Regions from separate parts of the Mus musculus genome. Here region 2 is reported to be linked to region 1. Evidence: microRNA targets listed by miRTarBase, many of them from high-throughput screens and not tested one by one. Region 1 holds a microRNA gene; the other region holds the end of a gene's coding sequence.
The links. Region 1 holds the annotated microRNA mmu-miR-30e-5p (UGUAAACAUCCUUGACUGGAAG, at 2,380-2,401, shown strand). A microRNA usually pairs through its seed, bases 2 to 8, with sites in the 3' UTR of a target mRNA and lowers its output. Matches are read on the target gene's strand: a 7mer-m8 pairs with bases 2 to 8, a 7mer-A1 pairs with bases 2 to 7 and ends in A, and an 8mer does both.

Region 2: the mRNA of Pitpna is a reported target of mmu-miR-30e-5p. Seed matches in the 3' UTR shown: 8mer at 2,850-2,857 and 7mer-A1 at 1,296-1,302.

The regions. Positions count from the first base shown.
Region 1 is chr4:120,770,993-120,775,060 of GRCm38, reverse strand. Mir30e (microRNA 30e) reads left to right here and starts at 2,364; the gene lies at 2,364-2,455. Nfyc (nuclear transcription factor-Y gamma) reads left to right here. Exons shown (of 10, transcript NM_008692.4): 5 at 1,294-1,389. It overlaps Mir30f (microRNA 30f), which reads right to left and starts at 2,455; the gene lies at 2,364-2,455.
Region 2 is chr11:75,625,131-75,629,198 of GRCm38, reverse strand. Pitpna (phosphatidylinositol transfer protein, alpha) reads right to left here. Exons shown (of 12, transcript NM_008850.2): 11 at 3,669-3,734; 12 at 395-3,082. The coding sequence ends at 3,690. It also overlaps a transcript of Inpp5k not described here. Among named protein-coding and RNA genes, the nearest start is that of Inpp5k, 3.9 kb to the left of the region's middle.

The DNA.
Region 1 (4,068 bases):
CTGCTGTTAAAGTTTTACTTTAGCAGGCCACAGGATAACTAACCAGGGCTATACAGAGAAACCATGTCTTGAAAAACAAACAAATTGGGCTGGTGAGATGGCTCAGCAGTTAAGAGCACTGACTGCTCTTCTGGATGTTGAGTTCAAATCCCAACAACCACATGGTGGCTCACAACCATCCATAATGAGAAACAGATAATAATACTTTTAAAAAACAAAAAACAAAAACAACAAAAAAACCTATGGACTGGAGTGAGTGGGTCCCGGGAGCAAGTGGGGCCCAGGAGCAAGAGGAAGAAGGGAAGGGGGGAAATGAATGAATGAATGAATGAATGAATGAATAAATAAATAAAGTAAGAAAAACAAATTTATCATACCTCTCACTTCAGCCATAAAGTGATCTATTTTTAAATACATTTCAAAAATTACTTTCCCATATATACTTAACTATATCACTCACTTGAGCTTAGTGGTTTTGTTTTTGTTTTTTTAACCTTAAAACTTTCAATAAAGTACACAAATCATATGGGAGAAAAAGTGTTGATTTTTATTATTCAAAGGAAGGGGAATAATATCAGACTTGAAGAGAAAGTCCACTTGTGACATTCTTTTCAGCTCTGTGTTCACTACCTACCTATAGTAAATTCAGGCTTGAGTATTCAGGCTCAAATTCGGATTAAACTATTCATTAAGCAGTGCAGTTTTGATTTCTAAACTAAAACCCATAGGTAACATAAAAATCAAGCGACTGGATTATAAGTGCCTGTAAAAAGAAAAACAACAACAACAACAACAAACAGTGCTTAGGGCCTTTAAAAAGATCATACAAGTGAATGATGGGCTGACCTTGTGGACCACAGAATGCCAGTTGAGACTGCTGGCTTTGTCCTGAATTAGCCAGAGGATGGTGGTTTTACAACTTTATGGAAGCTTTGAAACCAGAACAAGCAGAAATAGTGGTGAGTAGGGCTCAGATGTCCTGGCCTAGAGCACGAGATATGTGTATCTCTTTCGTTGATTTCTGTCCAGCAAGTCTGATATAAATTGAGCTGTTCTTATTTTTAGCTCTAGACAAACCTAGAGATTTTTAGTACAGTCTAAAAGTCATCTCCTTGGGCTGGGGCATAGCTCAATGGTAGAATACCTGTCTAGCTTGTGTAAAGCTCTAGGTTTAATCCCAGACACTGGGACTAGGGGATAGGAGAGGATCATGTCCTTTTACTTGAAGGATAACAGCCAAAAGAACTAGATTCTTCCTAGGCCAGTTTTTAACTTTGTTTTTCTTTGTTACAGAGGAATGATATTGCCATGGCAATTACAAAATTTGATCAGTTCGACTTTCTCATCGATATTGTTCCAAGAGATGAACTGAAACCTCCAAAGCGCCAGGTGAGCTGGGAGGATTTGCTCAGCTGCCACCTCCAGGGCCTGGGCAAGATGCTCTCCGGAGCTCCTCCCTCCCTCCCACCCAAAGCATTTCTTGTTTGTGGTTCTCTTCCGTAGTCCAGATCATCCTCAGCATCTCCTTCTACTCATTTATGGGTACTTTTAACTCAGTGCCTCTGGGGTGGGGTTGCAGTGAGAGAACAAAGTTAAAAAGACTAGTCACAGATAGTGGGGTGAAGCTCAGTTCAGGATTTCTTCATCTAAAATAAAAGCTTTTTCAGCCAGTCAGTTTTCAGATTCTAAGAAACAACCTCTTTGTGCATAGTGATCAGATTGGAGCCAGTGGCTTTTATTTTCTTACTCTATGCTGTGTCTCTGTAGTGTGATGACTCTACCCATCATCCACTGAGTCAGAACCTATGACCCCATGACCCCAGGAATCAATAATTAAAGTTCCCTAGATGCTTTGGTGTCCAGTGAAGTTTTAGAACCACCATTTACATTTTTCTTTTTAATTACAAGAACTAAGTGTCTGCCCTTCTTCTGCCTGTTCATCTCCAAAGATCACACCATTTGTTTTGTTCAGCACTTGGGTGCATATAACTTAGTTGTGATTGTGATAGACCCCAGTCCTATAGAGCTCATTGTTTCAGGCACGCAGTTTGCATGATTCACTAGGTTTAGTGTAATATGCCTCAGAGAAGTAAAGCCATACCATGTCCTGCTTGTTTTATTTTTGTTCATAAAATATAAGTGTTTTTAACTAATTATTTTGTAGTATACTGTTTAGAGTCATTTAATGACAACCATTCTCCCCATGTTGACCTGTACAAATAACCAGTCAGAAAACCTGTTGGAGAAGTGGGCATCCTAATTGACATTAATTCTGACCCTGCATGAGGGTTTTTGGGTTAGCAAGCCCTGGGTCACCTCCTTATGGGAGCAGGTTGTGCCTCACTGAAGCTCTTTATTTTTCTGGGCAGTCTTTGCTACTGTAAACATCCTTGACTGGAAGCTGTAAGGTGTTGAGAGGAGCTTTCAGTCGGATGTTTACAGCGGCAGGCTGCCACAGTCGTCCCCGGCTGCGCTCATCGGCTTTGAGACATTGCAGGTTTGTGCCCATGAACTTGTCTCCTTTTCTTGGGTTACTTCCTTTCTCTCTGAGAAGTCACAAGAACTCAGACTGTCTCTCTTCGTTTGGAGCTGATAATACCATGAGCCTGTTTTCCTTATTGGATTTTTGCTCCCATGTATCCACCAGGAGTTTCCTTTAAAGACAAGGTGGTAAGATCTGTGATGCAGTCAGGCATTGCTCTTATTGTACTGATTGTTCACTATGGGCTGCCTGCTGAATAGATGACTAAAGAGAAAGTTATTATCCTATACCAGTGGTTCTCAGCCTTCCTAATGCTGCACCATTTAATACAGTTCCTCATGTTGTAATAACCTCCCAACAATAAAATTTTTTTCATTGCTATTTCATAACTGTAATTTGCTACTGTTATGAATTTTAATGCAACTATCTGTTTTTCAGTAGTCTTAGGTGATCCATGTGAAAGGATCTTTCCATCCCACAAAGGGGTCACAACCCACAGGTTGAGAGCTGCTGACCTATACCTTCCTCCAAAGTTGTTTGTTCTTCTGGGTCTGTCAGGGTGTTAGATTTGCTGGTGGTCTACCCCATCTCCCTCTTTTGTTCTTTGGTTTGGTTTGGATTTTTGAGATAGGCTCTCCCTGTGTATCCCTGGCTAGACTAGACTGTGTAGACCAGGTTGTTCTGGAACTCGGAGAGATCTATCTGCTTCTGCCTCCTGAGTGCTGGGATTCAAGGCATGGACCACTATACTTAGTCCATCTCCCTTTAAAAGGTATACAGCAAGAACACTCCTTTAGCTGCCTGGTTTTAGTTCTTTGTAGGTGTTTGAGCTATTGATTGGCATCCTATTCAGGACAGCTGCTGCCTGGCATTTAAAAGGTTGAGATTGCTGAAAGCTGGCCTGAAATTCTAAGATAGCATTTTTTAATTCTCTGTAGACATGAAGTTTTCCCAAGCTCCAAATTGGCTGGCACCTCCTAAAGTCCTTTAAAAGTGCCTACTCTCCAAAACACACCCTCTGAAGGAGGCAGCAGTTCACCCTGCCACTAAAGCAAATGTATTTTTTCCCCTAGTCTGGAGCTGGCTGCTCATCAGTGTAGTGATGACCCTGTGCTGTGATACTGTTTGTTCACTGTCACTGTTTTTCAGTCTCAGCACTGGAGAAGCCACTGTTAGTGTGGAGCAGGTACCCTTCTGTACTGAGTGTTAGCATGGAGCAGGTACCTTTCTGTACTGACCTATTCGGTCAGGTGTTTTCCTAGGGCTTGGTGCTGATCCATCTGGAAAGGGAGACACTGGATTATGAGGCTTCTCAGAGATGATTTGGAGTCTCCCTCTCTCTTTTTTGCCATGGAAGTAAGTAGATTGTCTGCAAGTAGATGGTAGTTGAGGGTTGACTTCTCCCCGACTAAGCTATGAGTTGAAAGTTCCTTGCTCATTGAAATGTCATTATCTTTTCACCCATTTCTTTAAATCAAGCATCATCATTTCCTGCTGGCTTGATCTCCATTTGCAGAATGAGTGCTTCATAAAGCAGAAGAACCTTACTTGTGCCTCCTTCCATCACAGCAATTTGAAAATAGCCA
Region 2 (4,068 bases), not on the chromosome of region 1:
AAATATTTTAAGTCCATGACTTAAAATTAAGAATAAAAAATAAATGTATTGCTTAGTAGAGTAAAAGAGAGACAAAAGCAAAAATGGCTTACAGATGTGCACTGCTGCATAAGAAAACTGAATTGACATGGGACTAATTTTTTTTTTGTCTTTTGTTTTTTTGAGACAGGGTTTCTCTGTATAGCCCTGGCTGTCCTGGAACTCACTTTGTAGACCAAGCTGGCCTCGAACTCAGAAATCTGCCTGCCTCTGCCTCCCGAGTGCTGGGAGTAAAGGCGTGAGCCACCACGCCCGGCTGACATGGGACTATTTTAATTGACCTTTTTTTTAATGCCTGTTAGGTAAATACTACCACTGAGCTATACCATACCCCAGCCCGAATCCATACTGTAAGTGACTTTTTTGGACAAGGAATACTTTATTTACATAAAATGTCAGAAATACCACTGTATCTTCTCATAATCCTCTCCTGTAAATAAACTGGGGAGATATCAGTAGGAGCTTTAAGGACATCTAAGTTGAAAAATGGACATAGGAACATCACCAATAAGCTAGACTCCAAAAAACTCTGTCTAGGATTTTATTAGACTGCTTTTTTCCCCCCAATATACCTGTATTGGAAGATTGAGACAAAAAGGCACAAACTCACATTAAATAAACAGGAAATCTAATCAGTTCTATAAAGTGTAGTCTGTAAAAGAAGTAGCACTAAGAACCAACCCAAGGACGTCAGAGGTCCAGGGGGGACTGAAAGGAAGAATGTGGAAGGATACACACATGCCCACAGCAGTGACCCTGACCTGTCCCTCCCCAGTGTCTCTCCACAAGAAGGCTGGAGCCCAGCAGGCCTTGTGCAGAGACACTGCTGCTCCCGCTGGGAGTAAAGCAGACCCTGGAAATGTAATGGAAGCAGCCAGTCTGAAGAAGCATGTCGCACTCTCAGGGATTCTCACCAGAGGTGAGCCTTTCATCACCAGCCCTCTTGAGTGCTAGTTAATTTTGGGGGTGGGTAAAAAAAGGGGATACTTAAAAGCCAACACTTGTCCAGCAGCAACACCACCCATGGGGATGGAACAAGACAGGGACATTCCTCCTTTGTGTTTATGTGGGCAGGAGCCCTAAATCCAGGCTGGTCTCAGGAAATTCTAGTTCGGATCATTTGGATGCTTTCAAATGTGGGCAACAGCAGGGGCGCAAGGCAGGTAAGAGCAGGCCAGGATTGAGGCCAATGTGACTGATATGTATAGATCTTATGAAGTGCTGAAGGAGACAAATATCTTTTGACCCTCATATCATGTAAACTATCTGCGTAGACTATCAACTTCTCTCAAGATAACACATCTGAACTTTAACCTAGTTACTGAAGGAAGATCTTTAAGCACAAATAGGATTTGATAGGTAATACAGAGCTTATATGAGAACATTTATGTTTTTTCCATTTCCATTAGGAATGCCTCTTCTCCAACTTTCCCATGCTACTAGCAGCTGATATGCTAATCACCAAGATGCCCCAAGTGCATGCCTAAAGACTCTACAAGGTGAGGAGACTAATACCTTGAAAGGTGTCAGTAACCAGACATCTCCTGGTCTTAAAAGAACCTCAAGGAAGGTCAGAGCTAACCATGCTGAGGGGCCCAAATCTGTCTACCCTTATTCCAGGAGGACCACAGGGAAGCATCCAGTCAGGATGTCACAGGTGCAGTCCCTGAGACACTGCCTTATTGCACTTAGAAATGAGTAAGGCCAACACAGACAAAAACAAGGAGAACGATCCATCCTACTTCTCACTCCCCTAGTAGAGATTTGGTCTCTAACAGGTACCCTGGCAATCATGGGCTTGGATCACTACACACTGGGCTGACTGACTGAAGAAGGCTTGGGAAATGTCAGGTGACACAATTCTATCCCACTCTCCCACCAGAAAGGCATCCTCAGTTTCTGCCCATCTAGAAAAGCCAGTGCTTTGCAGCTTCCACTCCCTTGGAGCCTGGGCTTCCCCAGCCTGCTGTGCTAACTGTTCCAGGCTACAGTCACGGCTTGCTTTTGATTGTCCAGGACAGAACTCAGTGTGGGGCAGGATGAGCTGAGTTCTTTATCTGCAAATTCTTGTCCAGTGATTAGAAACAGGAAGGTACATGTTTTGCTAGGGATAAAAAGCTTTTTGCATGCTTGTTTGTGCAGCATGAAAAGACCAGGACTCTTGCATCCTAGCCAGCCTCACAGAGGACAGGGGTCTAAGAAAGCACAGAGAGGATTATTGCTGAGTGGCAGCACCAGCCCAAAAGGGAAAAGGAGCACGGACATACAGCGCTCCTGTGGGGTCTGAATGGTGTCAACAGGCCATACTGGACAGTTCTCCAGCTGGGCAGTGGTGGGGTCTTGTAGGCTCTACAGAGAGATCCAGACAGAGTGGGCAACAGGAGGGCTGAGAAGCCAAGATTTCTAAGAATATTAACCAGAGATGCAATGACTCGAGTAGGGGTTATTTATTATTTGCTAAATTTTCTGAGACTGGCTGGGCCTTGGGTGCCTTCTTGGTGCTTAGAGCACGCAAACAAGAGGTTACTAGGAGCAGAGGTCAGGGGTCTGAAGCCACATTCCTATTGTGAGGAGCTGGGGGTAGGTGTCTCTGTATTTTTAACTCCTCCTCTCTCCCCAAGTGAATATTCAGCATTGCCAAAGATCTGCCCAGGAAGCAAAATAGCTCAGTTTATCCCAAGGCTGAAATAAATGAGCTTAAATAATCACATCACAAAAGGCAGCTCATTGGGAAGACTGAGACCATCACTTGGAAATAAAAGGGGAGGGCATACAGAAATGGGTCAGAGCACAGTGGAGAGAGGATGAGCTGTAAACACAGCAGCTACACCATGTATCTTAGAGGATCAGGCTCCCGCACACACAGGCTTTATAATACCAGACGGTCTATTTGTTCACAATGTTAAAGGGCATCTAGAAATAGCTATAGTAAGGGATTGAAAGTTGCCTGAAGAATGAGCACAGAAAGGCTGCGTCCGAAGATGGCCTGCCACTCAGGAGGGTGGAGCTGCTGGGCCTTCCTGTTGACCACTGTCTTGCAAAACTAGAAAAGAAATAGAAATTATTAAGGAAGCAACAAGGGCAACCAGAAGCACACAGTAAATCATGACAAGTGGAGAGATCCCAGGAGGAGGCGTGCCAGTTGGTGGGGGCCTTGGAGAGAGAGTACTAAGGTTCTGGCACTGACTACAAAACTGGCATCTGCTTAATCCTCCTCTTCCATCCCCAGAAGCTGCTTAAGAACATGGGTTGGGCTGGGGATATAGTGCTTGCCTAGCTAGCACGCACACAGGCCTGGGTGAAAAAGAACCATGGGAAAGCCAGAGAATAAAGGTCCTAGGTTTTCTTAGCCTCTTGGTGCTAGAAGGTGCTCTTTGAGCAGATAACTTCCTCTCAGCATAACAAGGGACACCCCAAGTTAGCCCTATGACCTGGGTAAAAAGTCTTCCAGCCCCTGAAATAAACAATGTCCATAATTTGTTTCTATGGAAACCCAGGAGTCCCCTCGTTAGCACGGCAGTGACCATCAGTCCTAGAGTGCCAGATGAGGAATGAAGTAGGTTTTCTCATTTCACAGGGAGCTGCTGGCCTTGAGGACCCAAGCCCACTGACAACAGCTCGGTACTTACAGTGCAGAAAGGGCGGTGGCGCTAGTCGTCTGCTGTCATTCCTTTCACTGGGTCCTTTTGTCTCATCTGCAACAGAAAAAGCAGAAGGAAATTGAAAGCTTTTGTTGCTGATGGAACTTTACCATGAATGCACCCTGTCTTCTTGATCCTGCCAACAGGGCAGAATATTTGTGTGTATGCACCAAGCAAAAATAACAAGTTTGAATAAATAATATCTCAGACCATACCATTTATAATCTATCTCAGGTCCTACCATCCTCTACAACCTAAAATTTACCAATGCTAAGCCCAGAGCTATTTTCTTTTCTTTTCTTTTCTTTTTTTCTTTTTTGAGACAGGGTTTCTCTGTGTAGCCCTGGCTGTCCTGGAACTCACTTTGTAGACCAGGCTGGCCTCAAAC